Tribolium castaneum: one gene and its partners. The main gene of each other region encodes a partner of the protein of the gene in region 3 in a complex. Links are inferred from orthologs where the notes say so. Each region holds a gene or a part of one and is shown on either strand. Other genes may lie near its edges. The genes, in order: Sf3b6, Mfap1 and Sf3b3.

Region 1 (2,524 bases), on a different chromosome or scaffold from region 3:
CATTGTGTATTTACCAGAAATGGGACATTTGGTTGCGATAAACGAATGGAAACCGAATTGCGATCCCGAGGAATTGAAAGATTTAGGATTTCAATTCATGGTAAGAAAATTCCTAAGGCGATTTATCACTTATTGGGTATTTTGTAGTTCACGTTGCGTGGAACAATCCATTACAAGAATCCACTATGTTTAGGTATAAAAAATTTAAATTTATTGTTTTTCTATCATTTTAATTTAGAATTGGACGAAAACCTTGGCGACATTAATGCCGAAATAATCGCCCACGAAAATCGCATTTTGCAACGCCTTTCCTCCTTCATTCTCAAATACAACAAGGATATTAGAGAGCCTCTTAGAGTCTTATCGCTGTTTGATGCGTACGATTTTATTGATTTTTTCTCCCAATTATACACAATTTTTAGTTTGATAGCAATAGCGAAAGTCTCGGCACAAAATAATTACGTCCGACCTGCTTTAAACAACCAAAATATGCACGAAATCCGCGAGTGTCGTCACCCTCTCCTCGAGCTGGTCTCAAATTTCGAGCCCAATGACTTTTGCTCGGGGAATCACCACAGTCACATTAAAATAATCACGGGGCCTAACGGCAGTGGCAAAAGTGTGTATTTGAAGGAAGTAGCCCTCGTTATTTACTTTGCCCACATTGGCTCCTACGTGCCTGCCAGGAGCGCCAACATCGGGATTTTGCATTGCATACATTCCAGAATGCAAGCGACGGAATCGGCAGCCGTGCGCCTATCTGCATTTATGATTGACGCAATCCAGGTCTGTATAAAATTTTGCGAAAAAATTAATCGTAAATTAGGCCACGCAAGCGATTCATAACGCGCGCCACAACTCTCTGATCTTATTGGACGAGTTTGGCCGGGGAACCACCGTGGAGGATGGACTTGCTTTACTGGTCGGCTTTCTGGCCGACTTTCACAAACAAGGCAATAACTGCCCTCACATACTTGTCTCGACGCACCACCAAAGCATTTCTGATTTTTTACCGGAAGATGGTGTTGTTGAATATTTGAAAATGGCACATTCGGAGGAAAATGGGACACTTTTGTTCCTTTATAAAGTGGCGAAAGGTGTTTCGAGGAGTTTTGCGATAAAAATTGCGGCCGAAGTTGGCGTGGATGCGAGTATTATCAAACGGGCAAACGAATTGTTTGAAAAAAAGAAAACAGTCACGCCATTAGTCCGTTGTGAGAGTTATCCGGCTTCCGTTAATGATAGTGCGTTGATTGCGTTTTTAAAAGATGTTAATATTCCGGAACCAGATGAGGCATAATTGTGTTTGAATATCCCGCTTTAGTTTTGTTAATTGTTGGGTTGGTACGTGTTACGTTGGCGATCGTGTTGTTCAGTCAATAAAAACGTTTGTGTGAGTTTGTTTTTGTATTTAATTCATTGAAGCAAATTAAAAAAACGCCACAATGGCTTTGGCTATGCAAAGAAAGGCAAACGTAAGTCGTTAAATACCAAAAATTTGACCCAAAAAATGTTTTTTTTTATAGGTTAGGTTGCCCCCAGAAATCAACCGAATTCTCTACATCCGCAATCTCCCCTATAAAATAACAGCCGAAGAAATGTACGATATTTTCGGTAAATATGGGGCTATCAGGCAAATCCGCGTCGGTAATACCCCGGAAACTAGAGGCACAGCTTTTGTGGTTTATGAGGACATTTTTGACGCAAAAAACGCTTGTGACCATTTGTCCGGCTTTAATGTTTGTAATCGGTATTTAGTGGTTTTGTATTATCAGGCGAGTAAAGCGTTCAAGAAGACCGATATTGAGAAGAAACAGGAAGAGATTGATAAGATGAAATCAAAATACGGAATTAATACGTAAACATATTGTATTGTACATAATTTTAAGCTTTTTAAATAAATAATTACAATGAGAATGATTTTTATATCTAACGCAATTAAATCTCCCTTTAAATTCCCTTTCAATTCAGGGTGAGTCTGCTAAGAGTTTTTTTTTATGGGTACAAATTAAATGCACAGTATTTTATTTAAACGACAAGTATTTTTGATCAGTAAAAATAATAAACGCACAGTAAAAATAATAAACGCACAGTTAAAATAATAAATGCACAGTAATAATAGTAAATGCTCAGTAAAAATAGTAAATGCTCAGTAAAAATAATAAATGCACAGTAGATAATAGCATCTCAAAAATCGTTCGCGGGATATGTTTCGTTTTAGTTCGATGGGGCGAAGCCCCAGCCTGCAGGCTATCTATTGAGCGTTTATTATTTAAACCGTGTAAACTGAAACTAGATACTGTGCATATACGATTTTTTTACTGGGTAAATTTTAATAAAATACTGTGCGTGGTTTTGTCATTTAAATTTTTTACTGAGTAAAAATGGATTAAATACTGATCATTTATTATTTCTACTGTGCAAAAATTAATTAAATACTGATCATTTATTATTTTTTACTGATCAAAATCGAATTTATTAATGATCGCTTTATCACTACCCTTTTTTTACTATTGACTACATG
Region 2 (4,047 bases), on a different chromosome or scaffold from region 3:
GCATAACACTGAGCTACGAACGGTTGGAGTTTCTTGGTGATGCTGTGCTTGATTTCCTCATCACGTGTTATATTTTCGAACATTGTGGGCATTTGGAGCCGGGTCAAGTGACCGATTTGCGGTCATCCCTTGTCAACAATAACACGTTCGCAAGCCTTGTTGTCCGATGCGGGTTTCACAAGTTTTTGCTCATGATGAATTCGAATTTGCAAGGTCATATTGACAAGTTTGCCGATTACCTTGCTTCAAAAAATTACGTGATCGACGATGAAGTTCTGATTTTGTTGGAGGAGGATGAGATGAATATCGCCGAGTACGTCGATGTGCCTAAAGTTTTGGGTGATATTTTCGAAGCCCTTGCTGGCGCAATTTATCTAGATAGCAATAAGGATTTGAAGACTGTTTGGAGGGTGTTTTACAAGATTATCTGGCGCGAAATTGATCTTTTTAGCAAGAATGTGCCAAAAAATGTCATCAGGAGATTGTACGAGTGCCATACTGTTTACCCTCCGCAATTTAGGTAAGTTGTGTTGCGTTTGAGCCTTGATTTATTTTTTCTTTCACAGTAAAGCGTTGGAAGTTGGTAATCAAAAGACTATGGTTTCTTTAGACTTTATGTGTGAAGGTAGAAAGAAACGAGTTCATGGGTTTGGAACGAACAAAATCTTGGCTAAAAGGGCCGCTGCCAAAATTGCTCTTCGTGCTTTAAAGTTGTAATTAACGCACGAAGTCACAATGCGCTTATATTGATTCAGTTACTCGCTAGGATTGTTTGAAAAATGCTGTTTTCCATTGTTCAACTATATACCGTCAGTTAAATTCATTCGCTTTGATACCTATCACAAAAATGGTGAATTTAACTCACGCTGATAATTAAGTAGGAGAATTTTTAAATTACAGCCAACCTTTAATTTGTCATTAGGTGGTTCCAAAAATAATTCGTTTTCAAATTAAAACTGTTTCAAGTTAACCACTCAACCGCATTTTAAAACTGACTGGTTAACATAAAACTGTTTAATTTAAAAACTGTTGCGAACTTTAGTCTATACTTTATGATGATGTTAATTTACTTTGTATATTGCTTGAAGCTTGTATGAAAGTGTGATTTCCCTATTACATTGTTCTTTAATTGATGAATAAAAATATATATTTTTTGCATCTAAGTCTAGTGGTTATTACACCTTACTACTGCGTTTTCCTTTTTTTCAACGAGGGTTTTTCAAAGACTTGCTTGACGCCCCCTGCTTGTGTCGAGTGAAATTTGAGATTTTGCGAGGTTTCACTTGACCAAGGTGAATCGAAATGAGTTGTGTCTTGATCCACCAAATGTGTGTACTTCGTTCGTCCAGACCGTCCGAAATTTTTGACTTGCATAACTTTCGGCAAAATAGTTTTATCGAAGTGATCTTCCAGAGTTGCTTGTGCGAAATCTCTCTTGAAAACCTCGTCCTCCTTATCAAGATAGAACGCACCACGGTGGTAATATTTCTGCAAGAATTTGTACTTCCCCTTGATGGCTTTGTTTGTGACTTGTTTGGGGTTTAGTCTCAGCTCAAGCCTTCTCTCTTCTTCCGTCATGTTCCTCAATCGTTCGACTTCAAGTCGCTCTTTTTCAATAGCTTCGCGTTCTTCGCGATCTCTTTTGATTCGCTTCAACTCCCTTAGTTTCCAAGCTTCGTATTCAATTTCGTCGTTTTCATCGTCTGTGCAAACGTCGTTAAGGTTGGGTTCGTTATTTTCTTTATCTTTCTGTTGCTGTTCCTTCCTGATTGTTTCCTCAACAAGACGTAGCGTTTGTCGCCGCCTTTCTTCCGCATTTCTCACAGCTTCCAATTCTTGCTGCTTCTGCTTCTGTACCTCCTTTTCTTTTTCTATGATCGTGATCCTGTCTTTCTTTCTTACAAAAATCGGTTTTAATCTGGGGCCAGTCTCCTCCTCCGAATCTGTGTACTCTTCATACTCTGACGATTCTTCCGACGACTCCGACTTTTCTTCTTCTTTCACCATAAACTCCTCTTCCTGCTTTTCCATCATGCGTTTTTTCATCATTTCTCTGCGTTTCTCGATTTCGCTATCGCTAAGCTCCACTTCGGACTCATCATCGTCAGGAGCCGCCTCCAGTGTGTGTTTATGTTCGGGTAAATTAATTTGTTCCTTTTCGGATTCTTCATCAGACGATTCCAACACTTCTGGCTCCACAACGTGACGGCGGCGTTCTGGCCTCACTTCAGTTTCAACTTCTGCGATTTTCAGACGACGCAAACGGGGGTCATTCAGTTCGTCATCGCTGCGTGAAGGCTCCGGCGTTGGGGGCTGTTGGGGCTGATTGCGACGCTCCAGGAAATCGTCGTCGTCGCTGTCGCTGCTCGAACGCGCGTCTTGGGCATAATCGGGCTTCTTTCCAGACACGTAGCGGTGCACCTTCACCTTTTGCATCGAAATTTCGCCTGGAAATAGGCGGAAACGGCTCAGAAGGCATTTTTATTTGTTACAATTTTTTTATTAATTTTTGACAATGAGGTTATAGCCGTCATAGGTAAGAAAGATATTTTACCTTTTTCGTTGCGAACGGGAACCGCACCCGCAGTACTCTGGATGCCATAATAGGGCTGGGGGTTCATCATTGTGAAAATCGACTATTGAAAGTCGTTTTTAATTCTAAAATAAACGAAAATTGTTTTTGTGCCACAACTTTACATTTGACAGTTGACAACACAGGTTGACAAGTGACAAGCATAGAATTGAAAAATAATCAATGAATTATAAAAATAAAATCAACCGGTTCGAGAATTTTTTTGATAAATGAACCAAAAAAAAATTTTGTTCGTAACTGATTTAAACTCAGCGCAGAGACTTGATTGCAAACATAAATAAATAAGGTGTAATTTTGGTTGTATAATAATCAAACCAATATATTTTTTATAATAATCGCAATAATTAATACAGAATCTATGGATTTTGCAACTTAGAATTTTATTATATTGTATTATCTATTGGTTTTTATATGTTAAAACTATATCGTGTTTCTTTCTAAATGATACGTGTAGAAAATGTGTTCCTTTTATCAAACAAATTACAAAAAATTGTGACTTTTATTGTTTAAATTGGTAATAAAGAGTAAACGTTTTTTTTTGTTTATACGTTTCATTCGAAAGTTATTTGGATTGTTTAAACCTGTGGGTAAAAAAAGTCGAGGGCCACCAACGTAAGAAACCGAAATGCAAATTAGCTGTTGCCGTTGGGTTGGCAATACCACCTGTTGATGCTGAATCAAGTTAAATCTACGAAACGCAAGCGTGGAAGAAGACGCGGCGAAGCTGTGTTATTATAATTTTTACGCGATTGTGCCAAAATATTCCAACATTATGAACAAATAGAGTGGTTGCGGGTGTATTTTCTGTGTTGTGTGCATTTTATGAGTTACAATAATTGGATTACAAACGGCAACACAACTTGTACCAAGTGGTAAGTGTGATGGAAAGAACCGTCTTTGAAACCGTATTTTCGGTTATAAACCATCCACCGGTAACCAGCGTCTGGTTTACCGTTTTGGTAAAGCATTTTCGAGTTGGCTGGTCTTGGCTGGCCTCGATGGCAGCGAGTTGAAGCGAGTGTCCATTTGAAAAACCGCTGAAAAATCGAATAAATGGGCTATAATTTGCGTAATTGAAGCCAATGCCGGGATTGTTATTGTCAAGTGCGGATAAAAACAGCAAAATAGGCGCGGCAAATTCTTGTTTCTTGTATGTCAGCACGATCAAGAAGTCTGTGTGGAGTCTGACGTTTAGGCAGGGCATGCTGCGATGCTATTATGCAAAGTATACCAAGAATCACTGTCTATGGGGCTACCAAAGTGTTATTTATCTTTCGGCCTGCAGACGATGACGTCGAGATGGATGTGATGGGAATGGGTCAACGACACCCGGAATGCCCCCCTTTTCTTTCCCGGAGTTTTCCGGCGATTTTTTCGGGTCCGGAGACGACGTGTCAAAGGTCTACCGGTTATTAGAGACGCGGATGGAATTCATTTAAATGTATTATCGGAGA
Region 3 (3,659 bases):
ATAAAAAATCGAAATGATACGGAAGTTGTTTCACAATTAAAAAAAGAGGTTTGTTAAAATAATTTTGAAGCAGATTAGTATGAAATAGTTCTTTTTTAATCTTGAAATTATGTCCCTCCCCACAATATATTATCGTTATAAAGTTAATACTTAAAAAAATATACTTTATTAATTTTTAATTTCAGCAAAAAAATATTTCAGTGTACATCAGGAAAGAAGCAATGCCATTGCCTTAGTCTAAACATCTGAATTATATCAATAATGATTAAACAAATGATAATACTAACCTTGTTTTCACATTTCCTTAAGAGTTTCTTCTTCCCCATATCGTAAAGCCTCAACATCCTGCCAACTCCTGCAAGTAGCAGTCCATTATAAGCACAAAGGGCCATTGGAACTTCATCAACAGGAGTTCTATGAACAAATTCCAACTCCCGACCCATTGGATCCATTTTATAAGTATCCAAAAACCCAGTGTTACAATGCCTTGGATTTAGTTGAAAATCTTTAGAAATGCCAACAATCAAGAACAGAGTTTGTTGTGGCTGATTTTGGAATTTAACCAAAACACTAGACATTGCTGCCTCGTTCTGTTCCAATCGTATACACTTATGCACGATTCCTTGTACCGGATCCATTATTTTAAGCGTCGAAGCCCACATTCCATGCCCGGCTTTAGGCGCCGAAAAAATACTTTCGGGCAAGTCTTCATTCAAAAACGCATCGGCCATTTCTTTAGCCAACTCTTGTTCTTCTTCACCTGCGGCTTCTTTCATTTCTTCGGCCATTTGTAATCTTCGTTGTTTTTTGGTTTCTTCGGTGTAGGCATTGTGCTCGGTTTCAATGATCAGCAAATTATTGCTTTCAGGATGGATTATAAACTTCCTCGGGGTGTATTCAAGCGGAAATGAGACTTGATTAAAAACAGCCCCTAGTTTTTCCAACGCCAAAATACGTAACGTATTTGTGGAGATCGCAACAATGCCTTCTGGACACTGCTCGGAACTGAACCCTGAGGCATATTCCAGACTTTCATACGAGAGTGGAGTCAAATAAAACCGACTTTGGTAGTAATAACTCAACCAAGAACGGCTACTCATTGCCAGAACAGCTTCCGATTGTTGCATTCGTATTCGGAAGAGTTTGACCGGTCTCGAACCCAAATATCTCGTTCTTGTGTCTGACAATTCTCCAGAAACTGGATCTAATACGTTGCGAAGTAAAGCGCCGTTTGTAAGTCCAATGTTCAGATATAAGGTGCTTGTTGTGCTGGCAGCTGCAGCGTTATCCGGTTCACGATCTGTGCAACCCATTTCTACGATACATAAAGACTCGGCACAAACGGGTAATCCTTGGATAGAACGCGGCGCCAAACAATCGCTCGGATCTAGCGAGATAATCCGTACTGTACTATCGGCTAATCCCACGGCAAGGAAGAGGGATAATTGTTCGCCGGGCGCCACGTTTGCTAATGCCATGCAAACGACGTCGGCGTTCATACGTTTTCGTTCTTTGTATTCGTGTAATTGGCCCGTCTGTAAAACACGGAATTACTACTAAAAGATCGCTGAAATTGTGAAAATCTCAAGAAGTGAGTCCGCTTGTGTGATTTTATCAGAAAACTGAACCGAATTGCGAATGGAAATTTGCCAAATGAGGGAAGCGACTCAAGCGAGTTAGTTAATAGTCAGAGTTCTAAAAGTCTGTATTTTCTTGAAGCTCTCCGAGAGCGTATGACGCCCTGCTATTGTCACTCAAAACAGTCGAAATTCTCAAGCTTTTATAAATTTTAGAATCCTAACTTGTAAGCAAAAATATTCTCCACTGAAAGAAAAACAGTATTTTTTACTTTTTAATGCATCTTTTTTCTAAAAAACATTGCAATTTGATTAGATCACAGTTTTCGGTAATTGCAATGATTTTTGCTTATGTTTCAATAGTTTAATAGTTTAGAAAAATGAATGCAATTTGATATTTTTGTTACTTTACGATGTATCAAATGCAGCAATTTATTGTAAACGGAATAAATAAGCGAAAAATTACCGTTATAACACTTATAAAGTTAGAGTAAACTTGCATTAAAGACAATAACGCCTTGAATAAACTGGGATAATAATTTTTGAAGTAAAATATTTACCGGATCCATTTCGAAGTAAGCTAGTTCACCCCCTGACAGTGCAATAACCACTTGTCGTTGATTAATTGCACACTTTACGATTGTTTTCTTCCCTGGAGCTTTCCACTCATTTACACGCTTATCGGAACAAATATGCCGAATACCGCCTGGATACACCTAAAAATAAAAAAATACAATAATAAAAAATCAATTGCAAATTAATATATAGAAATGGGCATTATGAGAAGTACCTGAACTAAGGCATCGTCACTAAGAGCTGAACAGGACAATGTTGGTGTCGTACCCAAAAAGCCACTGTCTGTAACCTCCTCCACAGTTTCACCAATTGACAATACCAAAGTTGCGTTAACGAAAGACACAATAATATAAGCATCATATTCATCTGTAACAAATAAACCCAAAATGATAGTATTTAAACCAAGTATCTTAGATAATACTAAGTTGTCATAAGAAAACTCAGTTATTAACTATAATCACAATGATTCAGTTGAAACACGGACAAAAAATATCATCACTGTTTCGTTAATTGTCCCCCGTTTTTCTTTTCTTCCAACTCACCTTACTCCCGCAGAACGACAAGCAAACCAATCGCCATCTGAAATAAAAAGCAACTGGTGTTGAAAATCGTTCAACCACCAGGCTTTATTAGAAATTCATTCACAATGAATTTCATTTAAAGTAATAAAATAAAATAGGCTTACCGTCACTTCTTCTCTTAACCGTCCAAACGGCGTTGGGATTGCCAGGAAGCTCGGACACGGCCATCTCAGACACTTCGAGACCGTGTCGTAGAACCCGCAATGAGGATCTCGGGCCTCTTCCGCAAAGCATATACAATTGAGGAGTGTCTTCACCTGCCAGATCAGCAACTCGACAAGATAGAATCGGTGAAAGCGATTCCATTTCGTCGACCAAAACCAAGTTACGAAGGGAACGAGGCGCGAAAAAAAAAGTGTCACCTTCTTCTAAGGGCATAGCGGAGCTAAACTCCAACTCATCGTCGTCGTCACCAAGATGGGCGATCTGATACAAGTAGCTGAAAAAATCACCCATGAAAATATTTTGACATTAAAAAACTTAACAAATTATTTGATTTCAAAAAATAAAGAATAAAAAATAGACATAGTACAGAATTACTGTAAATAAAATTAGTTTGCGACGAATTTTCTTTATTACTATTTAGTATTATTAATGACAAAACAAAACTGAAAAAAAAAATGTATCTCCTTGATTCACTCCATAACACCACAGAAATGCGACGGAGGCGACAAGAAGAGGTTAATATTGCATGGAACAAAAACAGACAACCAATTAAATAGATGCCTGAGCAGATCCATGCGTTTTTTATTCTGTCACTTAGGCTATTTTATAATGTTTTAAAATTTTACCCGACTTTGTAAATGAGTGAAACTCTCCCAAAATCGAAACCCTTAATAAGCGCAGCGGAAAATACGAGAGTCTACCAGTCGTTTTTGAACTAATTGACGCTAATAAATAAAATTTGTTACAGTTTCTTGTTTTT

Evidence for each region.
Region 1: Sf3b3 (region 3) and Sf3b6 share a complex: the UniProt entries of both Drosophila melanogaster proteins name them as parts of the splicing factor SF3B complex. The link is inferred for Tribolium castaneum from reciprocal best matches to the Drosophila melanogaster genes Sf3b3 and Sf3b6.
Region 2: Sf3b3 (region 3) and Mfap1 share a complex: the UniProt entries of both Drosophila melanogaster proteins name them as parts of the spliceosome B complex. The link is inferred for Tribolium castaneum from reciprocal best matches to the Drosophila melanogaster genes Sf3b3 and Mfap1.

Annotation. Positions count from the first base shown.
Region 1 is NC_087395.1:21,527,869-21,530,392, forward strand, and holds Sf3b6 (splicing factor 3B subunit 6), read left to right. Parts: upstream 1-1,316; 5' UTR 1,317-1,445; coding exon 1,446-1,475; intron 1,476-1,526; coding exon 1,527-1,862; 3' UTR 1,863-1,917; downstream 1,918-2,524. Other genes in the region: mutS protein homolog 5, read left to right, coding at 1-100, 148-193, 239-786, 827-1,300. UniProt on the Drosophila melanogaster protein: Involved in pre-mRNA splicing as a component of the splicing factor SF3B complex. SF3B complex is required for 'A' complex assembly formed by the stable binding of U2 snRNP to the branchpoint sequence (BPS) in pre-mRNA.
Region 2 is NC_087397.1:4,122,495-4,126,541, reverse strand, and holds Mfap1 (microfibrillar-associated protein 1), read right to left. Parts: upstream 2,744-4,047; 5' UTR 2,625-2,743; coding exon 2,555-2,624; intron 2,448-2,554; coding exon 1,186-2,447; 3' UTR 718-1,185; downstream 1-717. Other genes in the region: Dcr-2 (Dicer-2), read left to right, coding at 1-520, 567-717. UniProt on the Drosophila melanogaster protein: Required for pre-mRNA splicing.
Region 3 is NC_087394.1:10,463,073-10,466,731, forward strand, and holds part of Sf3b3 (splicing factor 3B subunit 3), read right to left. Parts: intron 3,174-3,659; coding exon 2,839-3,173; intron 2,778-2,838; coding exon of another isoform or gene 2,696-2,777; intron 2,520-2,695; coding exon 2,368-2,519; intron 2,294-2,367; coding exon 2,138-2,293; intron 1,536-2,137; coding exon 288-1,535; intron 1-287. UniProt on the Drosophila melanogaster protein: Involved in pre-mRNA splicing as a component of the splicing factor SF3B complex, a constituent of the spliceosome. SF3B complex is required for 'A' complex assembly formed by the stable binding of U2 snRNP to the branchpoint sequence (BPS) in pre-mRNA.